2 linked regions of the Arabidopsis thaliana genome follow. The protein of the gene in region 2 interacts with the protein of the main gene of each other region in a pairwise test. Each region holds a gene or a part of one and is shown on either strand. Other genes may lie near its edges.

Region 1 (8,341 bases), on a different chromosome or scaffold from region 2:
TAGCGGAAAGTTACAATGAAAAGATACAAATAAAAAAATAACCGTCAATATTTAAACGGAAAGTTGCGATAAATGAGACACAACCAAAAAACAACCATCAATATTATAGCGGAAAATTGCAATAAAGAGATACAACCAAGAAAAAATAAAAGTCAATTGTTTTACGAAGTTACGATAAAAAGACACAAACGAAAAAATAACCGTCAATGTAAATAGAAATTTATGATAAAAAGACACAAACAAAAAAAGTAGTTGTCCCAACCGAAAACTAACCATCAATATTAAAATGACTGATACAAACGAAAAGTTGCGATAAAAATATACTAACAAAAAAAATAATCGTCAATGTTAGCAGAAAGTTACGATAAAAAGACATGAACACATAAATAACCGTCAGCATTTTAACCAAATGTTGCGATAATAAAATACAACCGTTCAGAAATGCAAAGACAATTTTTTAGATTCATCATAAAGCAAATAATTTATGGTAAAGATCAAATATTTAGAAATTACTTAAGAAGAATGACGAATAGATACAGTTCAACAATTACAAACATTTAAGTAGACAACTATTCGTCAGGAAAGATGCTATGAACAGACACAAACAAAAAATATAATTATCAATATTATAACGAAAAGTTGCAATAAAGAGAAACAACAATTGAAAAATAACCCTAAATATTTTTACTGTGATAAAAAGACGCTAATAGAAAAATTAACTATATTTCAAAAAGTTATGATGAAAAGACACGAATGTAAAAAAATAACCATCGATATTTTAACAGACACAATTTACGATAAAAATACAATTTTACGAAAAGTTGCGATAAAAAGACACTAATGAAAAAAAGGACCGTCAATATTAACCAAAAATAAAGATAAAAAGACACGAATGTAAAAAAAAAAAAACCGTAAATATTCTAATCGACACAACTGTTTACGATAAAAAGATATGAATGAAAAAAAAGTAACCGTCAATATTTTAACAAACACAACTGTTTACGATGAAAATCAGTTTTACGAGAAGTTGCGATAAAAAGACATTAACGAAAAAAATAACTTTCAATGTTAACCAAAAGTTACGATAAAAATATACGAATGTAAAAAAAGTAACCGTCAATCTTTTAACAGACAACTATTTATGATGAAAAGACACGAATGTAGAAAGTAACTGTTAATATTTTAATAGACACAACTGTTTATGATGAAAAGACACGGTTGTAAAAAAAATAATCGTCAATATTTTAACAGACACAACTGTTTATGATGAAAAAATACGAATGTAATAAAGTAACCATCAATATTTTAACAGACACAACTGTTTATGATTAAAAAAATACGAATGTAATAAAGTAACCATCAATATTTTAACAGACACAACTGTTTTCGATGAAAAGACACGATTGTAAAAAAATACCCCCAATATTTTAACAGATACAACTGTTTACGATAAAAAGACAAGACATGAATGCACAAAATATTAAAGGATACATCCAATAAATAGTTTTCAAAATGCATTTAGTGATAGATTTTATCACATTTTAGTATTTTACTTCATATTTGTACAAAATATCACGTAGAACAAACATTCACGAGAAAATATAATTATCAGAAGAAGAAAAAAGTGATTGAATTAAAGAAATTTCAAACTCAAACAAACAGCTCACCATCTTGGCAGTATTTCACCAAACTCAAATAAAAACACTATACATGAAATTAATTCATCAACCTCAGATTATGATACAGAAAATAGATCAGATAAAAAATATAACAATAACAATAAAATAAAATATTGAATATATATGTGGATGATTTATTTTATATGATAATTTTTTCCTCAGAACTTGAAACCGAGGCTGGGCCATTTCTTAGCAGAAGACTCTTTCTTCGGAGGTCTTGCATTTGGATCAATCAGATTCTGGAGCGACTTGGCTTTGTAGTTCCGCGACCGCCCAGCTTCCTTCAAAAGCTCGGCCAAACGTTTCTTCTCGTCTTCAAAATCCGGATTCGCAGTCCCGAGCTTTTCCTCTCTCAGCTTCAGAACCTGCTCTAATATCTCAATCGCATCCTCTATCCTGCAAATTACATAGCCATCACGAAGAAAGACTTTAATGTTTCATTAAGGATGTCTGATCTAATTACATAGTCAGATAGTTTTCTTTAGGACTTTACCTTCCCATAGCGTCATAGGTAGCAGCTAGATTGCTATAAACACCGAGAGTGTCCTGATCGCACGGTCCACGTTCTTGTTCAAGAATACCTCTTGCTTCTTCAAACAGCTCACCCGCTTCATCAATCTTGAAAAGCTGAACGCAGGCTAGTCCCATCTGGTTTAATACAACACCGAAGAAGGCAGATTTCTCACCTGCTGCCCGTAGCTTTGTCACAGCGCTCTCAAACGCGTTTCTTGCGTCCTCGTACCTCCCCACTGTGTAATACATAACTCCCATCCGTGCCTCTAACCCTGCAAATATTTACATACAAAGCAAAACAGATGTAAAGGAAGCTTGACGAGAAGATTGACAATGTCATGCTAAAGACTCGAATTCTTGTACGATCACAATCTACTTCCCTAAAAATACCTCAGATAAGTAATTAGATCTCTTATTTCTAGAATTCTTCGACAATATCACTAACACACAATTACAAATTAGCGTATTGGCTAACTCTAAAACCGGTAGATTCAGAGCAGCAAAACGAGTAAAGTTACTATAAGCGACTTTTCCTTACATGATTAACAATACAAAAATCAGTACTTTACATACAATTCGAGACCAAAATCGCACAATTTCAATACACTGCATAGCAATCCAGCTAAAGGAACATTCATGGTATGGACAAAAAATTTACCTGCAATGGCGCTCTGCTGTCCTGGCTTATCCTCAAGCAATTTCATAGACTTCTGAAGTAGCTTCAATGCTTCCTCAGGTTCATCTACAGACTCATAAATAGCAGAAATCTCAGTTAATCCACCAGCAATCTCCTCCACAGTTGTCCCAGGCACCGGCTTATTGTATATCCTCAACGCATTCTCACAGTAAGACTTAGACTCACGAAGTTTCCCTGTTCTATGGTAAAGCTCAGCCAATCTAACAAACACTGACGCAACCGTCGGATGAGTCTCTCCTTTAGAAGCCTTAAACACAGTAAGAGCCTTCTGATATGAAAACACAGCTTCATCAAACCGGCACAGCGACATGTAAATATTCCCAATACTAACATCAATCGATGCAACCTCAGATTCTTGTCCACTCGCAATCATAGCCATACTAGCAAGAACAAGATGCTCAAGAGCGTTTTCATAATCTCCTTTAGCCTCGCAGATAATTGCCATCAATCTCCTATCAGCTGCTTCCTCCAGTGAAGCAGGTTCACTATGCGCTCGGTGAATCTCTAGAGTCTTCTTGCATAACTCTTCCGCTTTATTGAACTGCATTGCTTGAACATATGCTTCTGCTAAGTACCTGAAAATTATCAGAGACTTCAGAAACTTAGATCTAACCTATATAGTAACTTTTAGCAAACGTAATCTAAGAGTTTAATTAACCATTAAATGCTTAGTTAAGAGAACCTGCAAGTTTCACCAACTCGTGGATCAGTATCACCCAAAGTCTGGATCTGGATCTTAAGACCTTCTTCATAACAAGCAATAGATCTATCAATCTGACCAAGCATAGACAACGTATCACCAAGTTGCATATGACCAGAAAACGCAGCGAGAGAGTGGTCAGGGCCACGAGTCGGATCAGGGACTTGAATAGCTCGTTCAAGAGGTGGTACAGCTTCATCAAATCGGCCGAGACTACAGTAAATAGCAGCGAGAACATGAAGGCTCATAGCGAGATCAAGAACAGGTCCACCATCGCTACCACCGGGAATAGGCGGAGCAACGGCGGCGCAACATCTCTCAAAGGACTTAGTTGCTCGGATCGCGTAATCTAATGCTTTGTTAGGACCTTCACCAGAAGCAATAGCGTCACGAGCTAATTTTAGAAGGAAAGGACCGAGATCTGGATTATCTAGAGATGGATCGTCGACGTCGATTACGGCTGCGGTGGAGGAGGATACGGTTGGGGAATCTTTTTTGCCGGTGGATCTATTTGGTGATGGTTTGGATCGAGATGGTGTAGAGGAAGGGGTTTTCTTCATCGGAGTTCGCGGCGGGTTTGAGAGAGGTTGCGTGTCTGGTACGGCTACACGTAGCGGCGGTGTATCGGAAGGAGTTTTGACTGAGACGAGACCTGGCATTGCTGGCATGAATGTGTCTCTCTGTGGGAAGTGGGAGAGAGAGAGAGAGTTATGGCGGATTTGGTTTTGGATCGGACTTTTGAGATCCAAGTGGAGAAGGAGACGAGTCAGTCAGTGAAAGAGGTAAGGGTAGTTTCGTAATTAAGTTTTAGATTGGAGGAGATAACGGTCATGTTGTGTTGGAAAATATTGGTGATAGATTATTAAATAAAAAAACTTTTCTTACACACAAAAAAAACAAACTAAAATAGATTTTGTACTTAGTGACGACAAGTGATAGATAGATTTTACAAGATAGATAAGTTTGCATGACAAGATTTGTACTGTTCTGAATCAGAATTTCTGATGAATTGTTCTCAATCTAAAATTTTATGAACTCACAAATTTAGATAGTAAATTAAATTAGAGAAGAGAGTTAAAAAAAGTAATGCAATCTAAGTTTTCATTTTACAATAAATTGAATATAAATCTTTTTTATGATGTGTATATTGAAATGGAGATAGTTGAGCATTTATCCACTTTTTACCATATGGTTTATGGTTTCAGTATTTAGAATGTAGGTTTTTTTTTTTTCTTTTTTTCCAACAAACAGAATTTATTTATATGAGTAAATCTTTACAAAGAGAGTTTTTGAGCCAAAGTGGCTGATAACCAGAATTCGATTGAAACTTGTAACACGAATAAAGTGGAGAAGCTAAGAGGTGAGCAGTATTATTACAGAGTCTATTTGTGAAAGTGAAAACCACAGTAGAAAATCTTGATGCCCAAAAATCCACATCTCGGAGAAGACTGGTTATTTCACATCTAGAAATTGCACCATTAATTGCCTTGATAAGGATCTCACAATCACCTTCGAACTGAACACACTTATACCCTCGTACCCATGCTTGTTGCATTGCGATTAATAACGCTTTTGTCTCAGCTTCCAAAGCAGTGGTACCATTTTAGACTATTGATGATCCCCAAGCCTTCGCTAATCCTGCATGATCACGTATGATCCACCCTCCCGTACTCTGAGTATTATTACCCGTGAAACCCGCATCGAAGTTGCACTTTACTAAAGGAAAGACCGGTTTCTTCCACCGCACGTTTGCCCTGTGTGATGATCGTGTTAAAACGGAAGCGTCCTCTCTTCGGTTCACACTTTGTAACCATTCATTGACTTCTGCTTCAGTTTGTGTCACAACCCTTGAGCAACTTTCACTGAACTTATTAAACACAAGATTATTGCGTGCTTTCCATAATCTCCATATGAGCCAAAATGGGGCCAACCTTTGCTCTGTATTCAGAGTATTGTTTGAAAAAGAATTGATAAGGAAAGAAATATTCTCCTCTGTGTCTTGAGAGAAAGTATGACCCGGTAACCAAGGGAAGTTTGATAGACCCCAAATTGACGCAGCATAAGGACACGTAAATAAAACATGGTTTATCGTCTCTTCTTCAGTTGGGCATCTGGGGCAGTGTGGATCGATGTCCATTCCTCGAGTGAGAAGTCGCGAGCGTGTTGGTAATGCTTTTGAGATTGTACGCCAAAGCATGTACTTGATTTTTGGAATAATAGGGAGTTTCCAAAGCTTGTTCTTAATTTCCACTGAACCATGAGGCACCACTGGTCTAACCTAAATATTCGTTGGGTCATTAAAGAGAAACCAGTACCCGGACTTAACTGTATAATCCCCAGAAGAAGAGTAGTTCCAAACTAGCTTATCTTGATGCACAATCCTGGAAAGATGATGGTTCATAACAAAACGGTGGTCGTCGGGACTAACAAGCTGAGAAATGAGATGTGCGTTCCAATACCTATACGAACCCTGAGTTGAGATTAACGTATCCACCGTGATATCCAACGTAGGAGTGACGACGTTGAGAGGTCGTGGAGGGTGCGATGCAATAAAATTATCTTGACTGATTCAAACGGTTTTGCCATCTCCGACAATGAATCTGCTTCCTTTTTTAATTACATCTAAACCCGCAAGCATAGAAGTCCATCCGTAAGATTGATATCTCTGCCTTTTAGCGTCCAGAATAGAGTCTTCTCTAAAGTATCTTGCTTTCATTATTCGGGCAAATAAAGAATTTGGGTTGTTAATCATCCGCCATACTTGTTTTGCAAGTAAAGCGTCATTGAATTTAGCCAAATCTCTAAACCCTAAACCACCTTCCTTTTTCGAGTATTGTAATCTCTTCCAAGCTATCCATGGTATTTCTCTTTTTTTTGCATTCTTTTCCCACCAGAAATTCATTAAAAGAGCTTCAATCTCCGAAACGATATTCAATGGTAATTTGAAGCAAGACATTGCATACACCGGCATCGACATCGCCACTGATTTTAACATAATTTCTTTTCCTGCCGGTGATAAATATTTCGCACTCCAACTGGATGTTCGTTTCTTTACTCTTTCAATGATATAGTTGAACATGTCTCGTTTTTTCCGCCCAAATTGCTCCGGGAGCCCAAGATATTTCCCACCTCCACCATGACTTTGTATACCAAGAATGTTTTTGAGACGATTTTGAGTGGTGCCATGTACTCGTGAACCAAACGTTATCATTGATTTGGACATATTAATTTTTTGGCCCGAATAGTACTCATAAACATCAAAGACATCCTTTAAAGCTTGGCAGTTTCGGACATTAGATTGGCAGAAAAAAAGAGAGTCATCCGCAAATTGTAGATGAGTAACACCAGGAACACCATTACCAATTCGGATACCTCGAATATCCCCTTCCGCTACTCTGTTTTTAATAAGATGGTTGAGTATATCAGCACATAGAATGAAGAGATATGGAGATAAGGGATCTCCTTGTCTTATTCCACGTTGTGGTTGAATTGTGCCATGAGGTATGCCATTCACTAAAACTGAGTAGTTGACTGATTTCACTGCTCCCATTATCCATTTGATCCATGTCTCGCTGAAACCAAATAGTCTCATCGTTGTCTCCAAAAAATTCCACTCCACTCTATCATACGCCTTACTCACATCTGTCTTAACCGCCATATAGGATTGAGAGACTCGTTTCCTTGTTTTCAGAGAGTGCATCATTTCGTGTGCGATCATAACGTTATCATTAACTAACCTTCCCGGGATAAAGGCAGCCTGAGAGTCTGAAACAATTGCATCTAGATGGCCTTTTAGTCGTTCTACAAGACATTTAGAAATAATCTTGTAGAGAACATTACATAATGCAATGGGGCGATAGTCAGAAAGTGTTTCAGGGTTTGTAATTTTAGGTATCATACATATATTTGTGTGATTTATTGATTGTTTCATGTATGATGTCCTGAAAAAAATTTTAACCTCTTTTATCACATCCGGACCAACAATCTCCCAACAAGACTTATAGAAACGAGCTGTTAGACCATCAGGACCCGGTGCTTTGTCATCTCCTATATGACAAATGGCGTTATAAATTTCCAAATCACTTAAGTCCTTTGTGAGATCGTCATTTATTTGCTCTGTCACTATAGGTTTGAAACCCGCAAAATCAATGATTGAAACAGGACGACCATTGCTCTCATAAACCTTTGTAAAGAACTCCTGAGCATGAACCCCTATCTCTTTGTCACCCCGATAAATCATTCCCTCCTCATCCTTAATTGTCACTAAACGATTCACAGAAAATCTTGTTTTGGTACAAGCATGAAAAAATTCTGTGTTGCGGTCTCCTTCTTTCATCCATTGGTTTCTACTTTTTTGTTGCCAATATCTCTCTTCATCACGGTAAGCAACGGTGAGCTCTCTCTGTATATGTGATATAGTTCGTCTCTCCGTTCTATTAACACTTGACATAGCTTTATCTAAAGCCGCTTGGAGTTGGTTTATCCGGATTCGGGAATTCAAATTAGATTTATGTTTCAACTTTGCCATCGCCTGTCTGCAGGTCCTTACTTGATCCGGAAGGTGTTTTCTCTGACCATTGATCGCCTTATTCCAACCAGCTTTGACATATGTTTTGAAGTGTGGCACCTCAAGAAGTCGTTTGTCAAAACGAAATGGTCGCATCTTTCTTGTTTCAGTTTTTTCGAGAGATAGGAATAATGGTTTGTGATCAGATCCTGTGAACTCAAGAAATTCCAACTCAGCAAAGGGGA
Region 2 (8,341 bases):
TCGGTTAAGTAAGTCAAAACCGACCATTTTTGTAAGAAAAGGTCAAAACCCCTCTTCCTCTACCGGAGGGTTTGGTATACAGTTTTGTTCCTTTCATATCGCCGCCAAGGCAAAGTACTATACCTAATCTTCCAGAGAATGTTTGATTTCTCGCCAAGTAAATAAAAAAAGGGAATCTTCAAAGATTCTTTGACAGGATTATGTTTGCGATTACAAGTAAAAAAGATATGAATATTTTTTGAAGGAAAAACATACAAGCACAGATATTCATAGTTCATAGTACATACAAGCACAACCTAACGTAGAATAAGATATTTACGACTACAAATAAAAGGTATTACAAATTAATTAAGCTTTAAAGGATCTGCATTACAATACAAATAACATCATCATATTCCAATTCATCCAACATTAATAAAAATAACTTAAATATTCAAAGAAACAAAAGAACATGAATTTTAAAAGGTTATAAAATTTATTATAGTAAAAAAATAAATGACTGGCGCTTACACTGCACAAATGAATTACGAAATGAAGGGAACACATAAGAGACAACAATCTCGGACACATTCATAAGTGGGAAAATAATTATATTAAATAAAATACCTCAGCTGCCTGCTCCGTTGGTCACGGTAACGCCGCCACTCTCCACCTTAGGGGGAGCTGAGAACCGCCGTGGTTTAGGCAATGCAGGCGAAGTTGGATACGAGAGCCGTTTCTTAGCTGATGCCTTGTCTGTGAACCCTTCGTTTTCCTGTGTGGTACCACCTAATGGGCTTTGGGGCTTGAGCCTGGCTCGAGCTGATTTAGTTGGAACCATGTAGCTCGGGAGAGCTGGTGAGCCAGCGAGGCTCTCATCGTCTCTGACTGATGAACCAGCAATGCTGTGTCTGCGGTTCCTCTCGGACAGGACCGAGATTGTGCTTTTGGAGTCGTCGTCATTGGATTTCCTCGAGGATTGGTTTAGCCTTGAGGGAGTTGGAGGTGAGAAGAAACTGTTTTTGTTTCTTGGGGTCCCTCTTGCGGATGATGGTGTGTTTGGTTGAGTTGAGCCATTGCGGGTTAGAGATTTTGCAGCTTCGTTGCGGTTAATAGAGCCCTTGACCGAGGCAGCATTGTCATTGTTGCTGTTGCTTTGTTCTTTCTCGGAACTCTCTAGTGGCCTACCAGCCATCCATCTCTCTAACCAGCTCCAACCCCATGTCGGGTTGCTTGGATCCATGAACATCGGGTTTCCAGATTTAGAGTTGTTCTTCCAGTTTTGCTGCAAACATGAACATATAGGATCATTACAACATTCAAATGAACCACAGATTCAACTTCAATGGATGTGTTCACTTTTTAATTGTATCTTTCCACACATTCAGCATTATAGGTAACGACTGGAGTACCTGATGAGAGTATGAATAAGCCAATGCCCTTTCCCTTCTCATTGTTGCCTCGTACTTGCTTAGCAAATTCGCTTCAACTTTCTCCTTTGATTGAATGCTATCATTCCAGTTATCCCCGTTCTGTGAGCAGCAACAGGAAAAATAGTACTTTTATAAGCAAAGGCCCAAAGATTCCATTTTCAGATAAAAAAAGAGACAGTAAATTGATAGTGTAAGTAAACATCTATTTGATATGAATGGTAATGCTACTATTAACCCTTTCCAGACTAATAAGCAGAAACATAATAGCAACTGCTAGGAAGAAATCAACAGTTCTTACTTCTTAGCAATCCTCTCACCAAAAACAACGGAAGAAACTTTGAATAACAAGAAAAAAACTGAATCAGATGAATATGAGAGACAGACCTTCAAGCCAGCTAGCTCTTTAGCATGTTTCTGAAGGAGTTGTTTCTGGCGAGCCTGATTCTCTTCTGACATCCTGATTCTCCTAGCTCGGATCTGCGACTGTACACGAGAGAGAGTCTGCATACATTTTAGAGTATTTGCAGCTTGCCGCTTAACAACAGATCCTTCCATCAATAACTTAAGTCTGACCAAACCCCTCATTGCCCGCAACGCTCTCCTTGCCTGTATTTCAGATATTACACAAAATAAGATTATACTCAACAAAGCAGCTTCCTTCACACAAAATCAAGTGCCTCGGTCAAACTCATACGAAATTCCGAAGGAATTAAGTTTCTGCAGATAATAAAGCCAATTGCAAGAGTAGAATTACATACCAAATAACCTCTAAATATAGTCTGGATCAAGATAGCAGCGGCTTCTTCGTTTGACTTTCCAGCAAATCGAGTAGGTGTAGCGCGACGAACAACACCAGGAGCAGATGAAGATGGAACTACAGGAACATCAGTAGCTGTAACATTCACAGCATCTGCTGTAGAAGGAGGTGAAAGATCCCTGTTCCGTTCAACAATCACTTCAGCTACTCTCACTTCACGAGGAGCAAGAGCAGGAGGAGGAGAAGAAGAAGATTGTCTAACATTATCCACAACAGGAGGATTAGAGATAACACCATTTTGTCCCTCAGCCAATTTTTGCTTCGACTTCTGAAAACACATCAACATGTCAATATATACAGACTATAACATTAAGTCACATCAATATACAAAAAAAAAAACTTCACCTTTGAATCTGGGCTGAATGCTTTCTTAACACTTGAAAACCATTTAGCTTTTTTCCCCATCTCTATGTAATCCTTCACAGAGAAGAAACAAATTATTCCACAAGGAAACTGAATCTACTGATCTCAGTAGCTAAATTACGACAGATCTCGAAATCTAGAGCTAAAATTCACCAATTGATACTGAATCAGGGAGAGAATGAATCGTACCTATGAGAAGACAGTGACACCAGATCTGATAGACGAAAAAGCTTGAAGATAAAACCTGGAGGAGTCAACTAAACCACAACGCGGCTTCTAAGTAGTGACCTTATCGGAGAAGACGAAAAAGCTTAAGAATCGAATCGATTGGATCTTTGCTGAGGTGCGAAGATAACTTTTCTTCTTCGAATTGCTTTCACATTATCATAATTGCAAATGGAGAAGAGAGAGAGAGGAGAAGACAGATGGATTCAAAGCTGTGTGAAGAAGAGTATTTGTGACGGTGTGTGTTTGTGCGTGATGCCACTTAATTGGGCCTCTTTTGTGGGCCCCATTCTACTCTTCTTTTTTTCCTTTTCTTCTTCTTAATTTACCAACTTCGTCTCTCTTTTACTCTATTCTTTTCACTTTTTTTTTTTAGTGATGAGTTTTATTTCTTAAGTTTCATAAACACTGTTTTGTTAATTTTTCTTTTTATAGTATAGTATCTTTAGATTTATTATTATTTGGTGCATTTCAAAAATAGTATACATAGTTGACATGGTATATTGGTGTTTTCTCTAAAAATGTTTGAAATTTTCTTAAAATATGGATAACGTGTAAACTGGAAAATGTATTGGATTTTGTACCTTTTTTGAAACTAGATAATTTAATGAACAAGTTATGAGGATCGATAAAACAGTGACCATATAAATTTTAAATTAATTTATAACTTTATCCGGTAAGATTGGTCTTTAATTTCACCTAATAAAACAAAATTGTTGCAATAAAAAGTTTTTATTCGTCTTTAATTTTTGTCTTTAGGCGGGTTAAAATATAACACTATATTTTTGCCGTTAAATATCTGTTATTAATCGAATTAAGATTTAAGATCGTATTTTTTGTCGTCAAATACCAATTGTTTATCGAATTAATTCATCTGCATAATCCGTATAAAGTATGTGTGTTTTAATACACGCTTACATTACTACAACCGACAAAACATGTGAACAAAATATGTCCACCAGTGAGACAGCCTTTATCATTTTAAAATATACTCGTTAACAAGCCACCATATACGATACTTAATACTTTCTGGATTTGATAAATCATGAAAATTAGTTGGTCATTGTACTTGTACACCATATCATATTTTATGTTCAGATCCACCCACACTACTAAGTTAATCTCCGATGGATGAACAAAGAAAATATTTGACTCATAATACCTAGTGACACAAACCATAAATAATGCTTTGGAAAAACTCGTTTTATGCAACAGCTATTAGCAGACTGTATTTTGCTCTATGATCGTGTATATCCACCACAAAAGCAATTTCCCAAATTATATGGATTGACATACAGTGAACTAGAACGATGATTGAAAGAGTATATAATTTTTGTCCACTGGATTAAGTATTATCTGCCTGAAATCATTGACTTTTTTCGGAGATAAACCCAAAAGGTTCCTTATCGGTGGCCAGCTTGTACCAGTCTTCCTGTAATTTTTGTGGTTAAGAAAAAAAAAAAAAAAAAAAAAAAGCATATATATGTCCAATCACTCCATGTGGCGTCTTCTCTGTTTCGTTAGTATAACATCCCTAAAATTATTTTCATATAAAATAAGTGAGAACTAGCCGTTGGAATTTGATAATTTATTTTAGCTAATCATATGTCCAACATATCAAAGTCCTATGTATAACTGTTTATATAAAGATATGCCTCTGATAACTTATAATATTAATAGGTATCTGTATATCCAAAGTCGGTAGTTGAATTGGGGATATGGACATTCCACCTAATGTATAATTCAAACTTTGTCGTTGCCAATAAAATAAAAAATAATTATAAGCTATTATGAAAATTTCTCTCCCCGTCGGTCAACTTTGAGTTGGTCTTTGCATTCTAGCAAGTGAAATTTATAAGTTAATTAAACCGGGGGAAAAAAAAGATAACTAAACCAAAATTGAACCGAAAAATCCATTTGGCATTATCTGAAATGTAAGTGGGGCATGGAAATAAGGTCAGGGCCGTTAGCGTTTTAAAGATATTTAGATGAGCCAGTGAGTTTGGTAACGACCCGACATTTAAGTCTTGTCGTTTTGTAACAGAGCAACGGTAGAAGATTCCTATATTGGCTAACACCTAAACCTGAACCCATGATAACGCCATACCTTTTTCTTCCCAGTGAATTTAATTGAATTAACAGTTTACAACTTCATATATAGATTAGTCCATGTCCATCTATATCACCTCAGAGAATTTAATTTCACCACTATTCAACTTTTGTTACTACTTCAGTTCATCTATTTTTTCAGTTAAACATACACATTTAAAATAATATTTATAGTTATAAGAAAACAATTTTATAATAATATTTTTTAAAAGATAGGGTTACGTTCAGCATGAGAGTTTTTGGGAGATTGAGTTGAAACAAGAACTGAGAAAAACATTTAAGAATTGCAAAAGAGAATGAAGAGTTACTGGTTTTTGATCGAACTAGAGATATGAGTCATTTTCTATATTCACTCCAAAATCTAATAAAGAAGCAAACACAATTCTGGTTTTAATTAGCTGAGAAAGGTTCATGATAAGCTATTTCTATGTTTCCTTCAAAACATCATAAAGTTTTTGAAACTGAAGAAATCTAAATTCTCAAACCAACCATATGTTGATCTAAAGTTATATATATGACTTCTTACACCACTGGACGACAGAAGATAATCTATTCTTAGTAATGGCTGATAGTACTTCTTGATAGGGTTTTAGACTGTTTACCTCATTGCTCAATGCTAGGATTCTGAATCAGATAGCGAGCGTTGTGTAAGAGGGAAGTAGTCTCCTCGTTTGATGCATCAAGCAAACGCAACTCCTTGATCTCGTCCTGCCATTTCTCAACATGTTCCTTGTGTATCCTGTTTCATAAATGTGAACAGTGTTACACATGTGAGTGTATAAACATCTCAATCATGGTACATACAGAAACATTATAGAATCTCTTCAAACTCACATGATCAAGCGTTCTTCGAATTCGTTACTGAGTTCCTTGAGCATTGTTTTCCCTGTTTCCAGCAAGTTAGAAACCTACCACAAGAAGCATCAATCAATATCAGATTCTTCCTAAACTTAAGCAATCAGGGAAATGATAAGAGCAGCTTACAGTTTGTGTGAAGCTCTCAATCTTATCGAGAATTTGCGCAATGCTAAGTTCCATCTCATCAGAAGCAACAAGTTTCGTCTCAGCTTCTTCATTCTCAATGGTATGATCAAGGCTAATTCCATCTCTCGAATCTCCTTTTCCCTCTTCATCCTAACAAATTTCACAGGACAAAATCAAAAATCTGATCCACCACAAAATCATCATCACCAGATCAACGACAAATTCAAAAAAAACTTACAGATGCTCTCATGCGTTTCCGAAATCCTCCATTCCCTGCGTCTTCTTCCATTTCAGTGTTCATCAAAACTGCAGTAATTTAAAACGATGCTCATGAACGCATAAACAGATTAAGAATTAAGTTTTCTACTCGATGCGATTGAATCCACTAGCTAAAGCATCGCAGCAGATTCCGATTTCAAAATCTAAAAACCGTACGATTACATCCCCAACAATCTAGCTTAGGATTCTACAATAGAACGGAAGAAACTAGATCGAGATCGACGAAAAAACCTCCGAAAGAGATTAACAGAGAACTTACGCGATGAAGATCGAAGAAATTGCTCAGTACGAATTGGAGAGAAGAAGATGAAGAAGTTTTAGAGAGAGTCCAGTGAGTGTAGAGAATGAGGAAGAAAAGCCAATTTGTTTATTCCGAGAATCCATTTAAATAAGCGTTTAGATTTAAGACTTATTTTATTTTATTGTCTCTGTTTCATAATCATCACTAATTAAGTAATTATGCTTATACAATGCTATTGGCGTTTTAAGTATGGAGGAGTGACTCAAGAATCAAAGCGATTTAGATGCGATTTGATATTAAGCCGAGTAATCCAAACATTTTACAAAAAACATACAGCCAAAATATTCACCTAATCAGATACTAATCGTTTTTTTTATCTATCTCGTCCAAAAAATGTTACAACCTCCGGGACAAAACAAAAAACAATAAACCGGAGGATCGATAAGATATACCTTAAACTAGCTTAACTTAAGAGTGAGCAACTTCTTCTGGCTCAGTGATCACTGCATCGAGAAAGGTTCAAGACTTGTTATAAATATCCCGGGACCTTTTAAAGGGAAGCTCAACGAATACATGTTCAACTGATGATGATGATGATGATGACGACGATGATGACAATAGACGATTTACTTTTGATGAGCTTGGTCCAGCTGATTGTTGTTCTTGTTTTACATCAACAGAATTTTCAGAGATTATGTTACTCTCTCTTGGATGAGGATTATCATTTTCAGCATCACTCTCGTCAAGGATCACAATCGTATCTGCACACAACAGAAAATATTCAAATAAATTTTCTTACAAGAGAGGTTCACCAACATATCAAGAACATACATACATACCTGTTGGAGTGTTATTCACATTATGATCATCCACCATAATAACCTCATTCTTGATAGTCACATTATAATCCTCCACCACAATAACCTCATTTTCGAAAGCCACATCGCTACTCCCTAGACCGGCGAGATTCTCAGCATCAAAAAGCGATTTCAAGAATGAACATTGTGATTCAGCCGCATCAAATCTCTCTTTCAATTCAGCATACTTGTTCTCCATCTTCTTCAGCTTCTCCACTTCTTCCTCTTTCGCAATCAAAAGCTCCTGATTCTTAACACTCAAATCATTGATAATGGCCTCTTTCTCACTGATCATTCCCTTCATCTCCTTCATATACTCCTCTTTCTCACTTCTCTCTTTCTCTAAATCCTTAAGCAAGCTTAGAATTTTCTCCTCGAGTTCCTTAATTTGCTTCTGATATTGAAACTTCATTATCTCGTTCATTTCATTCATCTGCTTAAAACTTTCCTCTATACTTTTGTAATCTTTTTCCAGATTCTCATAATTCTCCTTGAGAATTTCATGTTTTGTCGCCAAAATCTCCTCCTGAACAACCAAATTTCTTCTTGTCGGAGTAGCCACCGACGAGATTTTGTTCTTCCCCGATTTGTTTGAACGAGCTGATGATTTTCCAGTCATGACGTCGAAACCCTAACCCTGGATATCAACACAAACAGCGGTCAAGCTTTTACTAGAGCTTCTTTATCTTTGCCAAATTTACAAAATTTCACAGATTTCTAAAGAAACCCTAAAACTCAAATTCGTTCTAAGCTCCACCGGAAGAAGAACGGGGAAACTAACACTAGCGGATCTTTAAACCAAAATGTACAACGGAAGAAGAAGAAGAATCTTACCCAGAAAATCTTTTGAATCTTCTTCTTCTTCAAACGACCAGAAGAGAGAAAGAGCTAGCTACTGGAAAATGAAAGTAGCTACAGAGAAGGGAAAAAGCAAATCCCTAGAAACAGAGAAAATGAAGCGGGAATACGAAAGGACAACATATTCATGATCAAGTTAATAATTGAATCTTTGTTTAGTGTTAAATTGAACTTAATCCAAATTTTTGTTCTCTTC

The links.
Region 1: the proteins of iqd2 (region 2) and KLCR1 interact in a two-hybrid assay, tested with the Arabidopsis thaliana proteins (one large-scale study listed by BioGRID).

The regions. Positions count from the first base shown.
Region 1 is NC_003075.7:6,652,530-6,660,870, reverse strand, and holds KLCR1 (Tetratricopeptide repeat (TPR)-like superfamily protein), read right to left. Parts: upstream 4,498-8,341; 5' UTR 4,258-4,497; coding exon 3,572-4,257; intron 3,465-3,571; coding exon 2,851-3,464; intron 2,465-2,850; coding exon 2,173-2,464; coding exon of another isoform or gene 2,169-2,172; exon of another isoform or gene 2,076-2,168; coding exon 1,838-2,075; 3' UTR 1,606-1,837; downstream 1-1,605.
Region 2 is NC_003076.8:709,773-718,113, forward strand, and holds iqd2 (IQ-domain 2), read right to left. Parts: upstream 3,362-8,341; 5' UTR 2,782-3,361; intron 2,647-2,781; 5' UTR 2,635-2,646; coding exon 2,575-2,634; intron 2,498-2,574; coding exon 2,171-2,497; intron 2,019-2,170; coding exon 1,797-2,018; intron 1,512-1,796; coding exon 1,392-1,511; intron 1,265-1,391; coding exon 608-1,264; 3' UTR 176-607; downstream 1-175. Other genes in the region: AT5G03050 (knotted 1-binding protein), read right to left, coding at 5,530-5,665, 5,761-5,834, 5,911-6,060, 6,149-6,211; AT5G03060 (striatin-like protein), read right to left, coding at 6,950-7,191, 7,270-7,906. UniProt on the Arabidopsis thaliana protein: May be involved in cooperative interactions with calmodulins or calmodulin-like proteins. Recruits calmodulin proteins to microtubules, thus being a potential scaffold in cellular signaling and trafficking.